Linked DNA regions of Oryctolagus cuniculus. The protein of the gene in region 4 interacts with the protein of the main gene of each other region in a biochemical or structural test. Links are inferred from orthologs where the notes say so. Each region holds a gene or a part of one and is shown on either strand. Other genes may lie near its edges.

Region 1 (4,027 bases), on a different chromosome or scaffold from region 4:
AAGGCCCTGTGGAACAGATGCAAACTAAATAGCCAGAATTCAAGCTGCATTATTTATTGGCTTACAAATGAATTGGAAGCTACAAAAATAAGCCTCCTCAAATGGCTTTAGGCTAATGAATGTCTCTCAAACACTCTAGCTAAACCTACCAGCCCTGTATCCACGTAAGACTGATAAAATGCATTTTCATTATCAACATAAACTGGAAGCATCAAGACTGGTGAAACATTAGTTTAGAAAGTCATTTGCAGTGACATTTAAAACATGCTATTTCAACATCTGACCCATAATATTGGCTGCTAAATTAAGATCACCTGTTAAGAATTCATTGGCGCCCTATTCTCCGTGTGTGTGACAGCATCTTTTGATACTCAGGGTCATTACATATAAAAAATGGAAAAAAAAAAAAAAGGAACAAGAAAAAAGAAACGCAGGTCGTTCTGAACAAGTGCCTATAAACACAACCGATTCCTGACATTTCAATGCCAAGGCCACGCTGAGGGCGGCTTTCTCTCTGCCGCCCCCCAACCTCACCCCCACCCCAAGCCCGTCTCTGTGCTGCTGTCCGACCCGTTTGCTTTCTCTACCCTGCAGTTTAGCGGGCTTCCGCCGCAGAAACGCTGAGAGCACAGGTGAGATTCTACACACGAGCTACCCCCGCCATTCGCATCACCTCCGGGAGGACAATGCCATGGGCGGAGGAGACCCCAGACTCCATTCTCAGCCGGCCTGTGCTGTGCCTGTCTCTGCAGCCTGGCCATTTTCACAGCTCCCTTCAACTCTAGAGCAAGGATCAACCCCATAACCCGGGTCACTCGCCAAGCTAATACGCTCATCATTAGAGAACCTTTAGCTAAAGGGGAAGGGGGAGAGAAGAGGAGGAGGAGGAAGCCAATCCCTTGGCGCTGGAAAAGCCTCAGATGTCACAGTACCTGCAGGGACCCTGCTGGCCGCTGCCGGGTACCCAGGGGCTCGGCTCCCGCGCCCCCACGGACTTGGCTGGGAGTCCCAGCAATGTGTGCCGACTTAACGCAGTCAGGAGCCGGGCGGGACGGCCCAGCCCGCAGCCTCCTGAACCCCGGGGGCTCTGGCTCCGTTGGGCGAAGCGAGCGCAAGACGTCACCGTATCCCACCCGCCTGGACTCACCGCCCCCGGGCGGGACAAGCCCCCACTTTACTTCCACCTGAACCCCGGGTTGTCAGGCGGAGGCTGGGAAGTCGCCTCTTTCTGTCTCGCTCTCTTTCAATTTCACAGGAAGAGCTGTAAAGCGGCGGCGACTACCCGCGCAGCTATCCCCTTGCGGGGCCCACCCGGGGACCCCAGCAGCTTCCGCTCCCGAAGCTGCACACTCCCAGCCCGCAAGTGTGGCGGCCGGGGCTTTCCGTGTTCTCGCACACCCCCCACCCCACCCCCGCCCCGGCCCCCGGCATGACGCTGGCAAAGTCGCATTCGCGCTCCCCCTCCACCCTCCGACGGTGCAAGCGGACACCCAGGGTTCCCTCGGCGGCGGCTCCTGCGCCGGGCTGCCCCGGGGGCGCACGCCTCCGCGACTGCCACCCTCCGAGCTCCTGGGCATCCAGGTTTGCCCCGTGCACGCCCTCCCACCCCGCCAACCACGGCAGCTTCAGACCGGGGATGCCGGCGGGGCCCGGGGCGACGCTACGGGGGCAGCCGGGGGAGGCGCGAATGCCCCCCGCGTCCCTGGCAACCTGCGCGGCCACCCCGGCGTGCTCACGCCGGCCGCAGCCTACCTTCCGCGGGCCTCCGGCGGCGCCGGGCGCTGTGCAGAGCCGGGGAGGACGCTTTGTTAGGGCCCGGGACGCGGGACAATACTTAGCAGCCTGCGCCGCGGCTCCGGGCGCGCGTCCTTCAAAAGGACGCGCATCGAGACCGGCGCGGGCGTCGTTTCTACATGTAACGGGCAGCGCTCACAAAAGCGCGGCTCCCGGGGCCTCCGGCAGCCCCCGCCAGACCCGTCCCCGCCCAGCCTGGTCCCCGGAGCTCCCCGGTCCCTGTGCGCGGCCACCCCCGGCGCAAGAGGCCTCCGCGCTCCCCAGGCCGCGGCCCGGGGCCCCGGGGTGGGCGCCCAGCTTACCGCGTCCCGGGGCTTAGGCGCCCGGCGCCGCTGCGGGGACCATGGCCGCGGGCGCACTGGGGCTTGGCGGCGGCGGCTGCAGCGGCGGGACGGCCGCGCCCAGCGCGCTCGGCTCCCGGCTCCGCCGCGGGCACCCCGAGCTCTGCACGCCGGGGAGGAAGCGCTGGGCCCGCGCGGGGAGGAGGAGGAGGAGGAGGAGTCAGGGCGACGCCGGCCGGGGCGCGGCTCCTCCTCCGCGGCTCGCGCGGCTCCAGCGGCCGAGGGAGGAGCGGGAGGCGCCGCCCGGGCCCTCCCGGATGCTTCGCCCCCCTCCGAGCCCCCGCCTCCGACAGCTGAACTTGGAGACGCCCGGGCTCGGGCTGCGGGTAGAGGAGGCGTGCGCCCCCGAGGTCGCCGCGGGACGAGGCGGGCTCGTCCCCCAAACCCCAACCCCGCCTGTCTGCCTGTGCTGGCAGAGGCTCCCGCACGTACCCCGCATCCCTGATCTCCCACCTTCCTCATCCCCGCCGACGCGGGGCATACCTCGTCTCCGCCGGCGGGACCTTGAGATGGGAGGGGGGGCTTTTTACGGTCCCTGGATTTCCTGGAAGGGTCCTGGAGGCGGGACCTGGATTTCCTGGAGGGTCTAGCCCCGAGCCCTGGAGAGCGCGCGAGCCTCCCACCGGGTCTAGCCGGGCCGCCGCACCTGCCCGCGGCGCAGCCTCCGGGGGGTCTGTGGCTCACGGGCCAGCGGTATCTCAGTGTGGACCGCCTCCGCCTGCCGCTACTCCACTCGCTCCCCCAACGTCCCAGCATTCTCGCTCCCCCTTCCCTCCGCCCCTGCGCCCAGCGCCATCAAAGCGGGTCCCGAGCGCCGGGCGGGCGGCGCGGCGGCAGGGGTCCGCGGGTCACGCTCTCGGGCCTCCGGAGCTGCGGGGTTAAGCGTGAGGCCCGTGCAGAAGGGTTCGCGAGCTTTATCACAGCCCGCGAGTCCGTTATTTTCGCAGGAGACCGGAGAAAGCCCCGCTGCGGCTGCAGGGCCCGGCCTCGGACCCAGCATGGAAACCTGGGTTTAGGGAAATCCGGGGTGCTGGAGGCAGAAGCGAGCTGACCTCACCCTCACACCCCCACATCGCCCTGCGGAGGCAGCCCTGGGATAAAGCTGCGTCTCCCGGAAGTCAACGAGCTTGCTCTGGGTCACACAGCAAGGACGTGCTTGGCAGAACTGGGGTTCAAAAGCAGCTCACGTTCATGGCAAAATTGAACGGACTGAAATACACACTCACGGGAATGAAAGGATGTGAACCCGGGGGTGGGGGTGGTGGAATAAGGCCGGCGGATCGTAGCCCTGCCAGGTTCCTGTTCGCGACGCCCTGGTACAGTTATGCAAACTGCTACCACTGGGGAGAACTGGGTGAAGTGTCTCGTCGATGTCACTGCTTTGTTTCTTATACCTTGATGTGGATCTACAGTTGTCTCAAATTTACAAAAAAAAAATTTTTTTTTTAAGCAGATCAGTCCTATTTTAAAAAACTCAACCTCTCTTCTCTCAATAGAGTGTGCCAGGAGAGTTAAGACGACAGCTTCAGGCTGCTCTCGCCTTTTTGGGGAAAAAAAAAAAGTCTTATTTGACCTGGTTCACTCCCTAACAGCCTGCAGCAGCTGGAGCTGGGCCACATTGAAGCCAGACGCTCAGAACTTGGGTGCTTGGGTGCCAGGGACCCAAGCACTTGAGCCAGCACCTGCTGCCTCCCAGAGGAAGCTGGACTGGAAATGGAGGAGCCAGGACTAGAACCCAGGCACTGACATGGGATATGGTGTGCCAAGCAGCATCTTAATCACTAAACTCTCTCTCTCTCTGTGTCATTCTGCCTTTGAAATAAATAAAGGAATTTTAAAACAACAACTTTGGTCTTTGTCCCTGAGGAATTGATCATTTTCCCTTGGGGAAG
Region 2 (3,994 bases), on a different chromosome or scaffold from region 4:
TCCCATCTAGCTCCCTGCTAATGTGTCTAGGAAAGCAGTAGAGGATGGTTCAAGTGCTTGGGCCCTTGCACTCATGTGGGAGACCTGGAAGAAGCTCCTGGCTTCGGCCTGGACCAGCCCCAGCTGTTGTGGCCATCTGGGGAGTAAACCAGCAGATGGAAGATCTGTCTTTCCCTCTCTCTGTAACTCTGTCTTTCAATTAAAAATAAAAAATTAAATATTTTTTAAAAACATGGAATAGTGATAGCTACTGGGCTGCTCTAGTTATTCTTCAGTATATTCAAACTCTTCAATTTCCACACCCTAGAATAATATATGCAGTTCAACTAAAGAAAAGTTGGTATATACAGTTATAAATACAAATTATCTATATATCATCCAATTCACACAGCTAAAGCAATCACTGACAGTCACCAGATCTGGGAAGGTATTGTGACTCTTAAAATTAGATTTTATTCTCCAAATTAAATCTTTTTTCAATAAGAGATCTCAAAACAAAGAGATTTAATTAGCTTTGGGAAAATTTCAAATTGTTGGTGACCTATGGCCACCAAAGTCCAACTAACAATTAGCATTCATTACTGCTTATCCTGCCTTACACAAGTCAGCAAGTCAGCGCACAGTCCTTTCTTTGGCAAAGTTTTGCACTGTTTTTCTTCTAAGAGAGTCTTTGATATTAAATGAAAGGAGCAAGTCAAATCAGGCAACAACAACAAAAATTAGTGACAGTTTGGAAACTATCTTCCTTCTGTCTTCCCTATTTGGATGCATAATGTCCAAAGCAGATATCTGTTCAATTCTAAATTATTCATGCTAATGGATAATTATTGGCAAAAAGGTGCTGATAATCCAAAACGGGGAAAAATCTAAACAAAATCTATTTTGGTTTTGGAATATATGTTTTGCGTATATTTACCTTCTCAATTATCCCTAGCATGAGCTAATATTTGTACGCACTTGCAATCTCTAAGTACATAGCAACTGGCCACTTAGGTGGGGAGGTGCTCCAAGTCAGGCCAGTTGATAGTGGAAATTAGAACAGACTGCTATTCAGCCTGAAGATGAGCAACATGCATTTCAATTATTTTACAGTGCAGTTCAGCTTTCAGAATATCAATAGACTACCAGTCCTCTGTCCCAGTCTCTAGCTAATGTGCAATAGGTAATAGGTGATTTCTCAAGTGCCTGAGCCCCTGCCACCCACATAGGCGACTCAGACTGAGTTCCAGACTCCTGGTTTCAGCCTGAATGCTGTTGCCAGCATTTGGGGAGTGAACAAGCAGATGGAAGATGTTTGGCTGTGTGTGTCTGTCTGTCCTTCAACTACTGGGATTAGTCACCCTGTTGGACTAGATTTACCACCTGTTCTCTCCACTGTCCCTTCCCACCTATGAAACAGGTTCTAAAAGACAAAGAGACTCAAACGCCTCAAAGATCTCCCAAACAGTACAAGAAGCTAAAGACCAGCCTCTGATTTTTTAAATAAAGCATTCCTATAGTATTTATTAAAAGTTCAGGAGAAAAAAAAGCCAAAGGACTGCTAATCCTTGGCTTTACATTCATGAAAAGAAAACTGTGAAAATTGGGGGACGGGGGAAGGAACCCTTTTACATGAAAACATTTTTACAGTTTCCCTTGTCAGCTCCCTTTAACTTTCAAAATTTTACATGTGCATTGCGCCCAGAGAAGCCACCTAGGTTAGGCGGACAGACTGTACCAGGAGGGGGGAGCGCGCGCCTCGGAACGCAGCTCCTTTTGAGCCGACAAGCTAAAAATACGCCGGCCCAGTAAACAAATCCCATTCCATCCCGAACGGAGCCACACCGTTAACCTAGTAATTATGAGAAGGGTGAGATCACGCAGCCCCCGGCTTACTCATCATCAGCTTCTAAAGTTTCCATCGGCTCACGGCAACTTTGCCTTTTTCTAAAGTTCACAAGCGTGCCCTAGAATCTCTCAGGCGCGCGCACCACACACACACACACACACACACCTTTTTCGCTCCCTTCCTCCATTACTGGACGCACCTCAGTTTGGCTACCCACAGGGAGAACAAGCTTGTTGTCTTTTCGTTTGACTTTTATACTGAGACGTTAAGATGAACTTTTATCCTACCAGGGGGCTAGGAGCCCGCACGGTAGCCACCTCACAAACTCCGCCATCCCTCCCCGAAAGTCTAGCTGACAAGAGGGGACCGTCCACACCGCCCCGCACAGCTCAGGAGGGGAGGCCAGGAACCGGGGAGGGTGGCCAGACACGCGGGACGCAGGTGGAAGGGAGGCGCAAAGGAGAAGAGGTTGGGACGAAGCGAGGAGCGGCCAGGGCGAGGAGGGGGTGCCCGGGAGAGATGGCTTCGGGTGAGATACAATCAGAAAGCAGCAGGGGGACAGTGGCGATCAGAGGGGCAGAGTTTGGGAGTCGGAAGAGGCGGGAGGGGCGGGAGCGGACGGGAAAGGGGTCGGGGCGGGGGGCTCCGTTACCCTCGCGACTCCCGGGGCAAGGCCCTAGGCCGGGGCGGAGCACGGGGCCCGGCCGCCTCTCCTCATTCCTCGGCAGTGACCCCCGGGTCCGACCGGCCCCTCCCCCGACGACGATGGAGGCGGAGGCGGCGGCGGACACTGCGACCGGGGCTGTTGCTCCACACAGGACCTGGAGCTGAAGCCAGACGGGACTGATCGGGATTGGCCTCCCTCTGTGGCTTTTTGCCTGCTCCACACCCGGTCGCCACTCCGACTCCGGCGGCTGGTTCAGGATCGGTGGCTTTCGGCCGTCCGGCCGGAAACAAGCGCCAGTTTCCGGCCGGAGCGGGTTGGTGGTGACACCCAAGCCGCCCCCGGGCCTCCTCCCGCCCCGCCCCGTAGCAGCCCCGCCTTCAGCGCCGCTCCCGGAGCTGCGGCCGGTTTGGCGCTTGCCCCGCGCGTGACCCCGTGTTTTCCAGGCCCGCGTTCCTAATGCCCGTGGTCTGGAGCATTCTTGAACCGGAGCTGGGGGGAGGGAGGGGGTGGACCGGGTGGATTCTTGAGACTTCGGGGCAGAATTAGTTGGCCCCAGCCCTTTGGCAAGGAGCGGAAAGGGGTGGGGTGGTTCTGGAAAGGTGAGAGGTACGAAAGTACTTTAGAACGAGGAGACTGAAATTCTGGTTCACCTACACAGCTGTTCTGGACTGACCAGAGGAAAATGAACGCTTCTTTCAGACCGGGCTCCGGCTGGTTGTGCATGTCCCTTGCTACTTCACTCTTGAAGTGGACTACCCTTCTCAGTAAATACTTGGTATTTGTTTACTAGCCTAATGGTTATTGACACGTCTGCCTTAGACTGTTAGGCATAATCCAAACAAGTTAGGTTGGGGCCGGACTTGGCAGCCAGCCAGTTAAACTGCTGTTTCTGATGCCCACATCCCATACCAGAGCGCCTGGCTGGAGTCCTGGCTACCCTCTCTGATCCACCTTCGTGCTTATGCACAACCCCGGGAGGCAGAGCCGATGATGCAAGCGCTTAGGTCCCTGCCATCACACTGGGGGAGACCCAGATGGAGTTCCAGGTCCCTGATTTTGCCTTGGCCCAGCCCTTTCTGTTGCAGCCCTTTGGGGAGTGAACCAGCAGATGGAAGATCGATCTCTCTCTCTCTCTCTCTCTGCCTTCAAGGAGATGGAAATAAATAAACATTTTTTAAAGTTATGCCGCATTTTTGTTTGTAAAGCTTTTTACAACATTAGAGCATAATTCAATTCAGATACTTATTGAGTCCCTACTCTGTGCCAGACATTGTGCTCAGTGATACTGAGAATAGAAAAATCAACAGACATAATCCCAGATATCTAAGATCTTACAATTTAGTAAAGTACATAAAACAGTATTGTATAAGGCAGAACTCACATATGTGCTGTAAAAATTATAATGTGGCATGGTTATGAGAACATAAATAAAGCCATTCCTGCCTCTCAGACCTTCCACATGTGTTAAATGAATGTGTACATGGCAGAAGAGCGAGAAC
Region 3 (3,516 bases), on a different chromosome or scaffold from region 4:
TCGCATTCTCCAGTTCAGGCGTCCCAGGCCCAGATAAGGGCGAGAGCCCTGGAGGCAGGGCCTCGTGAGGTTTGGTTGTAGGGAAAATAGATGGAGACACTGGAGGCAGTCCGCGGGGAGGCGGCTCCACAAACAGCTTCTTGATGTTAGCAACAGATGGGGCCTACGGGAGCTAGGGCCGCCCGGCAACGTACTATGTTTGTCAACAGGGGTTCTTGGGTGTCTCGCCCTCCAGGGGCAGCCCCCATGGCCGGCGAAACCCGCGGCCCCAGTGCCTGCATTCCCTTTTCTGGCCTCCTCGGAGTTTTCCTTCTTCCAATACAAAACCTTCACTGCTCAGGCACACATGTCCGGGTCCACGCCCCCCGCCCCCACCCCGCGACCCTTCCCCTTGGACTTTGAGCACCCCCTCCCCCCATCTGTTCAGAGAGAGAACTGGGTCCCAACAAGATCCCCGGGCCCAATTCATTCACCTCCATCCACTAGGCACAAATGCAACTATGGACATCACTTTTTCTTAATAAATTTATTCACAAAAAAGTGAGTTTGCAGAGGGTCTGGGGGCTGTACATGGGCCGGGGCCTGGTGAGCTCTGTACAGGGGGCTGGGAGACAAGGGAGCCTCCAGGTTGGAAGGGTACTTTTTAATAAAAAAAATAACGGGAGCTACAGCCACCCCCTCCCCCCCTCCCTGATTAAAAAGACACAAAAATAGACGTCTCTGAGGTAAATGGGAAGCCTGGGGCTGAAGGGTGTTGAAAGGGTTTCACAGGTGCCAGGGCTTAAAGGGACCGTCACAGGCACCGGGGCGGCTCCTGCATCAGTTGGTAGAACAGCACGTAGCCCTCACTGGATGCCACCTGGTTTTCACTGACAGGGGAGACACTAGGAAGGGAGATGGGGAGAGAGGCTTGTCACCAGCCTTGTAGAGTCCCTCCTCCCCACTAGACAACCCCAGGGCATCCAGGGAGCGCTCAGGAGAGACCCCAGCTCGCCTGTCCCCAGGCACTCTGCTCCCGTGGGCCTCACGGCAGGGTGTCAGGGCTGCAGCAGGAACGGGCGGGAGTCAAGAGGAGGCTGTTCTCACCGAGAGTCATTGTAGACATGCCAACCAGTCTGGCACCGGCACAGGGCTGTGTAGTGGCCATAGTGGACGCTGCCCGAGTGGTTGCAAAGGGCATACAGCTGGTATACAGGGCTTCCTGAGGGGTTGGAGAACTCCTTAGAACAGTGCAGTGCCCCCTTCTCAGGGTTCCATGGGGCCTTCCCCACCAGACTCACCGGCTTTGTCACTGGCAAAGTCCCCTAGGCTCAGTCGCTGCAGCGGGAAGTCTACACCTACTGAACTTTTCTTGATGGAGCCTCGGGAGGTGGAAAATCGATTCAGATCTAAGCCCTGGTTAAGGAGCATTGGGAGGCGGGGGGATCTCTAGAGGGGACTGGGCCTGAATAGTGTCCTCTCCCCTCCCCCGACCCATACTGGGCGCCCTGGAAGGAAGGCTGGGGGTTAGGCTTTTCCTAAGGAGACCTCAGCTCCCCGTGGCCAGCCTCTGCAAGAGAACGCAGGGGAGATAGCCTAAGAGAAATAAGAAACTGAGGATTAGGATACGGAGCACGAGGATTCGGGGGAACCTCTGCACTGTCAGCTTTTTGGTACTCCGCGTTTTCTGCCGACACCGGTCACACACCTGAATAAACGCCAAATGGTGTTAGGTTGATGCGCTCCTCCCCCCAGGCGGCTCCAGCGCAGTCCACTCTCAAATGTGGTGTGCTCCCCGTTGCTGCCGTAACCCCGGCCGCACCCCCTTGCCCTAGGAGCACCAGGCCGTGTACCAGAGGCTCCAACACAAGCCCAGACATGTGAGTTCTTCCCACACTAAGGCATCTCGCGGTCCCTTTTCCCCAGGAGGCCCCCTCCTGTCCCACCCTTGTTACATCCCTTGTGAACCCCCACATACTGGGGCGTTCTCCAATTCTAGCTCTTCTTCCTTGGTGAAAAGGCTGAAACAATCCCGCAGAGACACCTTGCCCCCAGCAAATCCTTTCTGCAGAGCAGGGGGCAACAGGGAAGGGAGGGTCAGTGTGGTCTCCATTTCCTTTTCGGATTCTTCTCAATCAGTCCAGCGTCAGTTCCGCTCCAGAGACCCACAGGAGTCCCGCCCGCACTCTGGAGGTGGCTAGGGCCGGGTCACAGAACCCCCGTCCCATCCACCCCTGGCATCCTCTGGAATCCCACCTTGGGGATGGGCAGGGACAGGTCACAAAAAACCTCGAAGGTCGTGGAGCGATACCCACAGGCCTGGCACTTGAGACAACTTTTCAACTGGCCCACAAACAGGTCTGGACAGAAGCAAAGGGACAGAAGAACGAGTCACTGTTGGGGGCCTGACAAGCTTTCTCTGATACCCGCCTCTTCCCTGGCCGGGTCCGTTCCCACCACCAACACTCCAAACAAACTCCCCACGCTATTTCTGGTTTCCATCACCCGGTCCTGCTCTCACCCCCCTGACAATGCCAGCTTTTCTTTCCTCTGAAGCCTGTGTACCCCTCCCCCACCCCCACTCGTGTTCCCACATTTTCCCCCCATTCCATACCCACAATCTTGCTGTCCTCTCGCTCCAGGTAACGTTTCCACATTAGGTTGGCTCGGTCATCGTCACTACCACAGATCAGGGGAAGTGGGGAGCACCCGTGAGGCAGCAGGAGCACTGGGAACCCCCAACACCACAGAGCCCTGCACGCCACCCACAACCCAGCTCCTCCCCTGGACTTCCAGGAAAAGTCAAAGGAGTCATGCTTCAAGGGACTTCTGGGGGAAATCCAAGGTGAAAGGAAAATGTACACAAGGGAACAGGCTGTCTCCCTCCACCTAGCTTCAAACCCTTCTAAGGAGCTCTGTTATAAACTGTCCCCTCCCTCCTGAGTGACGTCCCCAGCATATCTTCTGCCTCCATCTGCACCCCTCAGTCTTCCTCCCCCACGTCCTTCCTTTCACTTCTGCACTGCTTCTTAAACCATTTTGTACACTAAAGGGTTTCCCAGCCCCTGCCACTTCAGTCTGGACTAGCAGGGTTCTGTGAAGGCTGCATGTCGCTGCGGAACTCCCGGGGGTACGAGGGCAGGGACGGGCCCTTACCTTAACTCAGGCTCCTCTAGCAGCGCCCCTCCTCGGCAGGGTGGAGAGGGAGCTGGACCGTTGGCCAGGATCGGGGGAGCCCGGCGGCCTCGTCGGTTGATTTCAAGGTGTAGTCGCTCCATGAGGAGCTTCAGGAACTCTTGGGCATCCTGCTGGCTACAGCCAGACGAGAGAGTGTGGGCCACGATCCGTCCTCATCCAGACACTAGCCCTGCCCAGATGGGGTCCCCACTTGCAGGATAAAAACACCTCCAGGCCCAGAACAATACTGCCCAGGCCCCCACCTGGCCTCACCCTCAGACATGGCCAGACTCTCCCACCTGTATCCAGAGAAGGAGGGAACGTATTTCTGGAAGACGGCTCGGAATCGAGTAGGGTTCA
Region 4 (3,513 bases):
CGGGAATGCAGAGGAGGATGGCCCAGGTCCTTGGGCCCTGCACCCCATGGGAGACCAGGATAAGCACCTGGCTCCTGGCTTCGGATCAGTGCGGTGCGCCGGCTGCAGTGTGGGCCACAGCAGAGAGCTGGCCTGGAAGAGGGGCAACTGGGACAGAATCCAGCGCTCCGACCGGGACTAGAACCCAGTGTGCCGGCGCCGCAAGGCGGAGGATTAGCCTAGTGAGCTGCGGCGCCGACTGCTCCACTTCTGATCCAGCTCTCTGTTAATGCACCTCTGAAAGCAGAGGAAGATAGTCCCAAGTGCTTGGGCCCCTGCACCCCTGTGGGAGGCCAGGAAGAAGATGCCTGGCTTCGGCTCTGCCCAGTTCTGGCCATTGGAGCCATCTGGGGAGTGAACCAGCAGATGGAAGATCTCTCTCTTTCTCTAACTCTGCCTTTCAACTAATTTTTTTTTCCTTAAAAAAAAAACAAAAACAAAAACGGCTGTCTTGCTGCGTGGGTATAAAGTTCTCCCGCGGCAGCCTGAGATTGCTTTTAGAAATGGGCATTCCAGGCCAGCACCGCGGCTCACTAGGCTAATCTTCTGCCTGTGGCGCTGGCACACCGGGTTCTACTCCCGGTCGGGGCACCAGATTCTGTCCCGGTTGCCCCTCTTCCAGTCCAGCTCTCTGCTGTGGCCCAGGAATGCAGTGGAGGATGGCCCAAGTGCTTGGGCCCTGTACCTGCATGGGAGACCAGGAGAAGCTCCTGGCTTCGGATCAGCACCGGCCGCAATGGCCATTGAGGGGTGAACCAACGGCAAAGGAAGACCTTTCTCTCTCTCTCTCACTGTCCACTCTGCTTGTCAAAAAAAAATAAAATAAAATAAAATAAATAAAAAAATAAAAAAGAAATGGGCATTTCTTTGAGAACAGGACAGCCCTTCTGGCTGCTCCCAGCTCCGCTGTCTCCTGAAGTAACCAGCTTAAATCACGCCAAAGAAGTCTACACTGGGTGGCACCTTCTCGTTTCTTGCAGTTACATTTGGGGCTGTGTGTCCTGTGCCGTAATAGTGGTTGTAACTGAGTCGGTGAACCATGCATGGAAATAACAGAAACCGGCTTGGACCTGCGGTCTAATACCTGAGCCGAGCGTGCTGACTGTGGTCAGGGCCCCAAGTGTCTGGGATGGGCAAGTGGAGATGTGCCGTGGGATGTCCTGTGGCTGAGGAGGCAGTTGCTCCAGTCCTCTGTCGCACAACTGGTTTATTGGGCATTTGCTGAGTGGGTGCCTTGGTGCTTCTGCTCTGTTACCTGTTCTGGGGCACTTGCTGTAGTCTGTACGTGGCTGGCTCACTCCGTGAGGGAAGTTGACAGGTGGTAGCTTGTCGGGCTGGAAGTGGCTTCAGAGAGGGTCTGTGGGGTCTTGGGTGTGTTGCCCCTTTCCTCTGGAACCCTGTGGACTTCATGTGGGAGTCAGGTAAGGGTGTAGCAGTCTTCTTGCTGTGAGAAAACTAAAAGCCCAGATTATTCCTTCTTGGCATACTGCTTATATTTTAGTTAACATTTTCACAGCCATTCTTTGATTCATTTGTATCCATGACTTTCTGATTGTATGTAGTTATTCTAAAAACAGGTTTCAAACTTATTCCATATAGGAAATAATCCTGAAAAGGAACTGACATCAAACCAGAAAAATGAAGAATCTAAAAAGTAAGCTTTTTTGTTTACAAAGCTCTGTGTTCATTTACTAGAGTGCATCGTTTCATTTTAAATTTAGTTAATTTTCTAGATTCCCAATCTTTAAAAAAAGAATGAATTTTAATTGATATTTAGGGACTGAGATGTTTCTCTTAAGTTGCTTTTCAAATTTAGAAAAAAACTTGGATGAATCTGTTAGAGTAACGGTGCTGTCTGCTTCTAGAAGGAAGTGGCTAATACCCAGGGTTTATGTGTGCCTCCATGCTTTAATTCCATTCCTATGCAGTGTGCAGGCCTTAAACTGTGTCCTGTAGCAGTCTGTACAGATTCTGACAGCGTAAGTAAGATTGTACTTGCTCTTTAGCAGAGGTTGGCGCGAGCGTCTTTCCCAGGTGTTCCCAGTAGACAGCCTGCGTTCTCTGAACTGTCTGGACTCTACAATGAGGGGAGAAGCCAGACTTTCTTGCATTGAGCTCCCTGGGAAGCTTTGGAACCTCGGTTCTGTGGCTGTCCTGCCCCATCTGTCCTGTGGAGTCCAGCCTGCTTTTGTTCATGGCAGTGGGTCCATGTCTGCTCCGAATGGTTCTGCACACACGGTGTCAGCCTCTCAGGGTGGCAGCTGGCGCTCCACAGAGGGCCGGGAAGCCTTCTTCCCTCGCCAGTTACCCTGTTACGTGGTCTTTGTGTTGTTAGGTCTGTACTGCTGTGCATAGGACAGCCTGGAGCATTTCCCAATGTAAAATCCAAATTCTTGCCTTGTCACTGATTCAGTGATGGCGGCTGAGGATGCCACGTTTAATGTTTGTGACTCAATAATGGTTATTGGCTTGGTTTTTGCTGAGGGTGCATGTTGGGTGCAGTTCTGAGTATAAAATTGTAGAATGTGTCTAAAGGTTGGTTTTCCACATTTTAAAATGTTGAATTTCCTTTCTAGAAGGCAGTGGACTTTGGAAGATTTTGACATTGGTCGTCCACTGGGTAAAGGAAAGTTTGGTAATGTTTATTTGGCAAGAGAGAAACAAAGCAAGTTTATCCTGGCCCTCAAAGTGTTATTTAAAGCTCAGCTGGAGAAAGCAGGCGTGGAGCATCAGCTCCGAAGGGAAGTGGAAATCCAGTCCCACCTGCGGTGAGTGCATGAGATCGGGCTGCCGGCCTGTCAGCTTGAGAGGGCCAAGCGTGTAGGCCACAAAGACTGAGTCCTGGTGTCGTTTTTCACAGATGCGGTAGACGTACATGCAGCAGTGCTGAACATCTCCTGAGGGCTTAGTGCTCTCAGTGAGGTCAAATATGTGTGCAAACGTTTGGGGACAGATAATTAAGGGGGATGGCACTTTTTATTCTAGGTTAAGCACAGGTTGCAAACTGGCAGCCTGCAGATGACATGGGTCAGTGGGGTGGGAGTGTGTGTGTATTGTTTTTGCTTTTATTGCATTTTAAGTATGAATCAGATGCTAATATTTAAAATCCGGCCACATCAGGCCAATACCTTCTGCTGCCAGCACTGGCTAGGGGCAAGCATGTCTGCTGTTTGGGATGGGCTGTGCGCCCCCGGGTCCACACTGAGCCTGGCCAGCCTGTTTAGTGCACCTCTGGCCATTGTGTGCATGGTGCCACACCACTGTGGGATGCCATGTCTTTTTGATATGCAGAAATTGGTATTCCACGGAGCTTCCCTTAGGAGTAAAAATGCCTACAAGAAAGAAGGAATGGTCTCTCTTTTTTAAGATATATTTACTTATTTGAAAGTCAGAGTTACACAGAGAAGGATAGGCAGAGAGAGAGAGGTCTTGTATCCAATGGCTCACTCCCCAGTTGGCCGCAATGGCTGGAGC
Region 5 (3,513 bases), on a different chromosome or scaffold from region 4:
TGGGAGACACCACCAAAAGGTCTACACGCTTGGCACTGCATCCCAGAACAGGACAAAGGGTGATGCTGAAAAGAACATTTCAAGAAATAACAGCTAAAAAAGTCTCAATCTGATGAAACACAGAGACCTATGATTCAAGGTCAGCAAACCACAAACACAATAAACCCTAAGAAATCCAACACCAGACACATTAAAGACAAAGGAAAATGCCAAAAGCCACCAGAGAAAAAGGACAAGCAGCTCAGAGTAGATTTCCCATCAGAAATCACCGAGGCCAGGGGACTTTTTAAAGTGCGGAAAGAGGGGCCAGCACTGTGGCGCAGAGGGTTAACACCCTGGCCTGAAGCACTCCAGCTGCTCCACTTCCAATCCAGCTCTCTGCTGTGGCCTGGGAAAGCAGTAGAAGATGGCCCAAGTCCTTGGGCCCCTGTACCCCTGTGGGAGACCTGGAAGAAGCTCCTGGCTCCTGGCTTCAGATCGGCACAGCTTCGGCCTTTGCAGCCAAGTGGGAAGCAAACCAGTGGATGGAAGACCTCTCTCTCTCTCTCTCTCTCTCTCTCTCTCTCTCTCTCTCTCTCTCTCTCTCTCTCCCTGCCTCTCCTTCTCTCCTTGTGTAACTGACTTTCAAATAAGATAATAAATAAATCTTAAAAAAAAAAAAAACAAATAAATAAATAAAAATAAAGTGCAGAAACAAAAGAACTTTATATCCAGTGGCATATTCTGCGGAAAGAAAACGGGAACCAGCAATCTTCAGATGAAAGGAAACTAGAGAATCAGCTGCCAGCCAACCTGTTCCAAAAGAATTGCTACAGGAAGTGCCTCAGGGAGAAGAAAAACGATACCAGAAGGAAACGCTTAAAACACCAGGAACAAAGGCGGAGCGACAGAAGTGAAGACTTGAAGAAATATAATAGAGTAGCCTTGTACTCTTTTCCCTTTTTGTTCAATTGGTCATTAATTCAGGGGGGGGGTGGGGCAGACAGAGTTCTCATGTGCTGGTTGACTCCCCCAAATACCCACAACAGCCAGGATTCAGCCAGACTGAAGCCAAAACGGGGAGCCCGGGACACAGTCCAGGTCTGCCATCCAGAGGCAGGAGCACAGTCACTGGAGCCTCCCAGGGTGTGCATCAGCAGGACGCGGAGTCAGGAGCAGAGCCAAGTACTGAACCCAGGCGCTCTGACGTGAGTGAGGCATCCCAACCACTAGGCAAACGCCTGTGCCCTAATCGTTCTACAATTCTACAACTGAAAGAAAAATTACAACACGTCTAACATGGCAGTGACCATCGGTAGAAGTGATGTCTTAGACTATCACAGCACACAGTGGGGGACAGTAAAGGGGCAGGTGTGGTGCTGGGTTCTGCACTCCAGCTGAACAGCACGGACTCTCGATACCATGAAGGGCTGAGTATGGAACACTAGAACAACCACTAAATGACTCTAAAGTGCTAGATGTCATTTGGTCAAAATCACAACAGACAAGTTAGAATGGAACGGTGAAAATATTCACGAAAACCCCGGAAAGGACCAGGAGAAGTAGACAGGAGCAGACAGAGGCCCTGAGGTGTCTGAGAAGAGAGCAGCTTCTGCAGCCAGGTTTCCAGAAGCCACGGCTGACAGCTCCACTGCCACCCACACAGCAAGACCCAGACTCCAAGCACAGTGTAGTCAGACCTGCCCTGCCCTGCCCTGCCCTGCCCTGCCCCCTCCCTCTGCACCTCCGGGCTGCACTCAGGCCCAGTGGCTCTAGAAATCCCAGAAAGTTGTCTGTTCTCTTCACAGACCCCAGAGGGACCCAGTGCTAGAGAGGGGCAGGGAGGAAACACCGCAGGTCACACCCTTGCTCGCCTCCCTCTGGGAGCAGTGTTACAGGCAGAGGGGACGGGCTCTGCAGAGGGAGGACACGCGGCCCCCAAACTGCGGTATCTCCAGCCAGCCACCCCCACCTCCCAGCACGATGTTAGCGTTTCTACAGTGCATCAGTTATGTAACAGGGCTATGGCGGGAAAGCACCCGGTGGAGCTCAGTCACAGGACAGGAAGAGGCTTTACTTACGACAAAGCTGCTCTGTGGAGGAGAAGAGGAGACAAGGAGAAAGCCAAGAGTTAATGCCAGGCTGGGGGTCGTCCTGCAAGGCAGACCACACGCCAGCTGGGCCAGTGGGTCTGCCCGGGGCTCACACCCTCTCAGGACCTCCTTCCTCATCTCAGCTCACACACCCCCCCAAATTGTCCCCTAAAGTGAAGGCGAACACGTGTGCCTCTCTCCCCACTAAGACTGGGGGGATCGGTGGGCAATGCAGGGGGTCTGCTTAGCCAATCCTGCACCTTCCCAGCACAGGGCCTGAGACCCAGCTCACACCAACTGGCCCAGCCCCTGGGCTATGACTGCAGCCCAGGACAGTGTCCCCAAAATACAGGGCTGCCCGCGGCCACATGGCTAAAGCTGGCCCTTGACCAGGGCCAGGCCATGCCCTCCTCTACCCCAACCCATGCTATTCACAGCAGCCTCGTGCCAGCTGTGGGGCGGGGGCCCACTCACCTTGGGGTCCACACGCAGGGGAGTGTTGCGCTTGATGAAGGACTTCATGACGCTGCTGCGCGAGGCCGAGGTCGGGGTCATGAGCATCTGGTTCCTCTGCACTGTGTGCAGGAAGGTCCGGAGAGGCCGCACCACCTGCAGACCAGCAAGGTCAGGTCTCGGCAGGTGGGGCGGACCCTGAGTGGGGGAGAAGCCTGGCTCACCTTGCTGGCGGGGCAGGGCGGGGAAGGGGTCTTGCTCCTGGGGGGCTGCAGCTCCTCGTCCTCCAGGTGCTGCTCCTCATCCAGCTCACACATGGCCTGCTTGTAGCTGCGTTTCCTCCTGTCGAGGTGCAGGGAGCAGCAGCGTGGGGTCACAGGGCTGACCACTGCAGCCCAGCCACTCCCCAAAAAGCTGGCCCCGGTGAAGAACCAGGCCCAGGCCGTAGGGCTTGCTACTAAAAGGGGCTGCACCCGCTGCTGCCCAGGGGTAGGGAGGTGGCTGATCTGAGGTCACACAGCCAGCAGGTCAGAGGGATGTGGCCAACGCTCTGGTCACTGACTCCCACGCCAGCACTCACCTGCAGCATCAGCACCAGGCTACGCCCCAGCAAGAGGCCACAGAGCCTCAACCACACACCCGCCCTCCCTGAGCCAGGACCCAGGTTCGTGCCTGCATGCCCCCTCCCAGATGCAAACCTGACGCTCTGAGGTGGCTCTCTGGGTTCATCTGCTTGGTCAGCCGTGGCCTCTGTGGAGAGAGCAATTTCAGCGGGGCTGCAGGAATGGCGGTGGGGGGGGGGGGGGGGCCGTGGAGGAATTAGAGAGGTGCCCACCAGTGGCAGCAGCATTGGTGGGGGCGCAGCTCCCTTACTGGCAGCCCCCAGGGTAGCCAGCAGCAGACGCATCAGTCTCCGCACTGATGGCCTTGAGGAACCCAGGGGTGTTCAGAGCCCAGCACGCTCTCCCCAGCCCAGTCCCCTCACCCC

What was found.
Region 1: of the proteins of AURKA (region 4) and NIN, one has a biochemical effect on the other in vitro, tested with the Homo sapiens proteins (2 studies listed by BioGRID). The link is inferred for Oryctolagus cuniculus from reciprocal best matches to the Homo sapiens genes AURKA and NIN.
Region 2: of the proteins of AURKA (region 4) and OTUD7B, one has a biochemical effect on the other in vitro, tested with the Homo sapiens proteins (2 studies listed by BioGRID, with this or other methods). The link is inferred for Oryctolagus cuniculus from reciprocal best matches to the Homo sapiens genes AURKA and OTUD7B.
Region 3: the proteins of AURKA (region 4) and USP21 form a complex in vitro, tested with the Homo sapiens proteins (2 studies listed by BioGRID, with this or other methods). The link is inferred for Oryctolagus cuniculus from reciprocal best matches to the Homo sapiens genes AURKA and USP21.
Region 5: the proteins of AURKA (region 4) and INCENP form a complex in vitro, tested with the Homo sapiens proteins (3 studies listed by BioGRID and IntAct, with this or other methods). The link is inferred for Oryctolagus cuniculus from reciprocal best matches to the Homo sapiens genes AURKA and INCENP.

What each region holds. Positions count from the first base shown.
Region 1 is NC_091443.1:25,352,310-25,356,336, reverse strand, and holds the start of NIN (ninein), read right to left. Parts: upstream 2,805-4,027; 5' UTR 2,619-2,804; intron 2,231-2,618; exon of another isoform or gene 2,097-2,230; intron 1-2,096. UniProt on the Homo sapiens protein: Centrosomal protein required in the positioning and anchorage of the microtubule minus-end in epithelial cells. May also act as a centrosome maturation factor.
Region 2 is NC_091438.1:47,945,287-47,949,280, reverse strand, and holds the start of OTUD7B (OTU domain-containing protein 7B), read right to left. Parts: upstream 2,802-3,994; 5' UTR 2,481-2,801; intron 1-2,480. UniProt on the Homo sapiens protein: Negative regulator of the non-canonical NF-kappa-B pathway that acts by mediating deubiquitination of TRAF3, an inhibitor of the NF-kappa-B pathway, thereby acting as a negative regulator of B-cell responses.
Region 3 is NC_091438.1:37,627,673-37,631,188, forward strand, and holds the end of USP21 (ubiquitin carboxyl-terminal hydrolase 21), read right to left. Parts: coding exon 3,456-3,516; intron 3,292-3,455; coding exon 3,136-3,291; intron 2,659-3,135; coding exon 2,594-2,658; intron 2,340-2,593; coding exon 2,236-2,339; intron 2,045-2,235; coding exon 1,958-2,044; intron 1,688-1,957; coding exon 1,609-1,687; intron 1,389-1,608; coding exon 1,281-1,388; intron 1,202-1,280; coding exon 1,087-1,201; intron 885-1,086; coding exon 794-884; 3' UTR 512-793; downstream 1-511. UniProt on the Homo sapiens protein: Deubiquitinates histone H2A, a specific tag for epigenetic transcriptional repression, thereby acting as a coactivator.
Region 4 is NC_091442.1:5,227,045-5,230,557, forward strand, and holds part of AURKA (aurora kinase A), read left to right. Parts: intron 1-1,638; coding exon 1,639-1,693; intron 1,694-2,615; coding exon 2,616-2,807; intron 2,808-3,513. UniProt on the Homo sapiens protein: Mitotic serine/threonine kinase that contributes to the regulation of cell cycle progression.
Region 5 is NC_091432.1:10,130,417-10,133,929, forward strand, and holds part of INCENP (inner centromere protein), read right to left. Parts: intron 3,276-3,513; coding exon 3,224-3,275; intron 2,868-3,223; coding exon 2,750-2,867; intron 2,682-2,749; coding exon 2,547-2,681; intron 2,073-2,546; coding exon 2,061-2,072; intron 1-2,060. UniProt on the Homo sapiens protein: Component of the chromosomal passenger complex (CPC), a complex that acts as a key regulator of mitosis.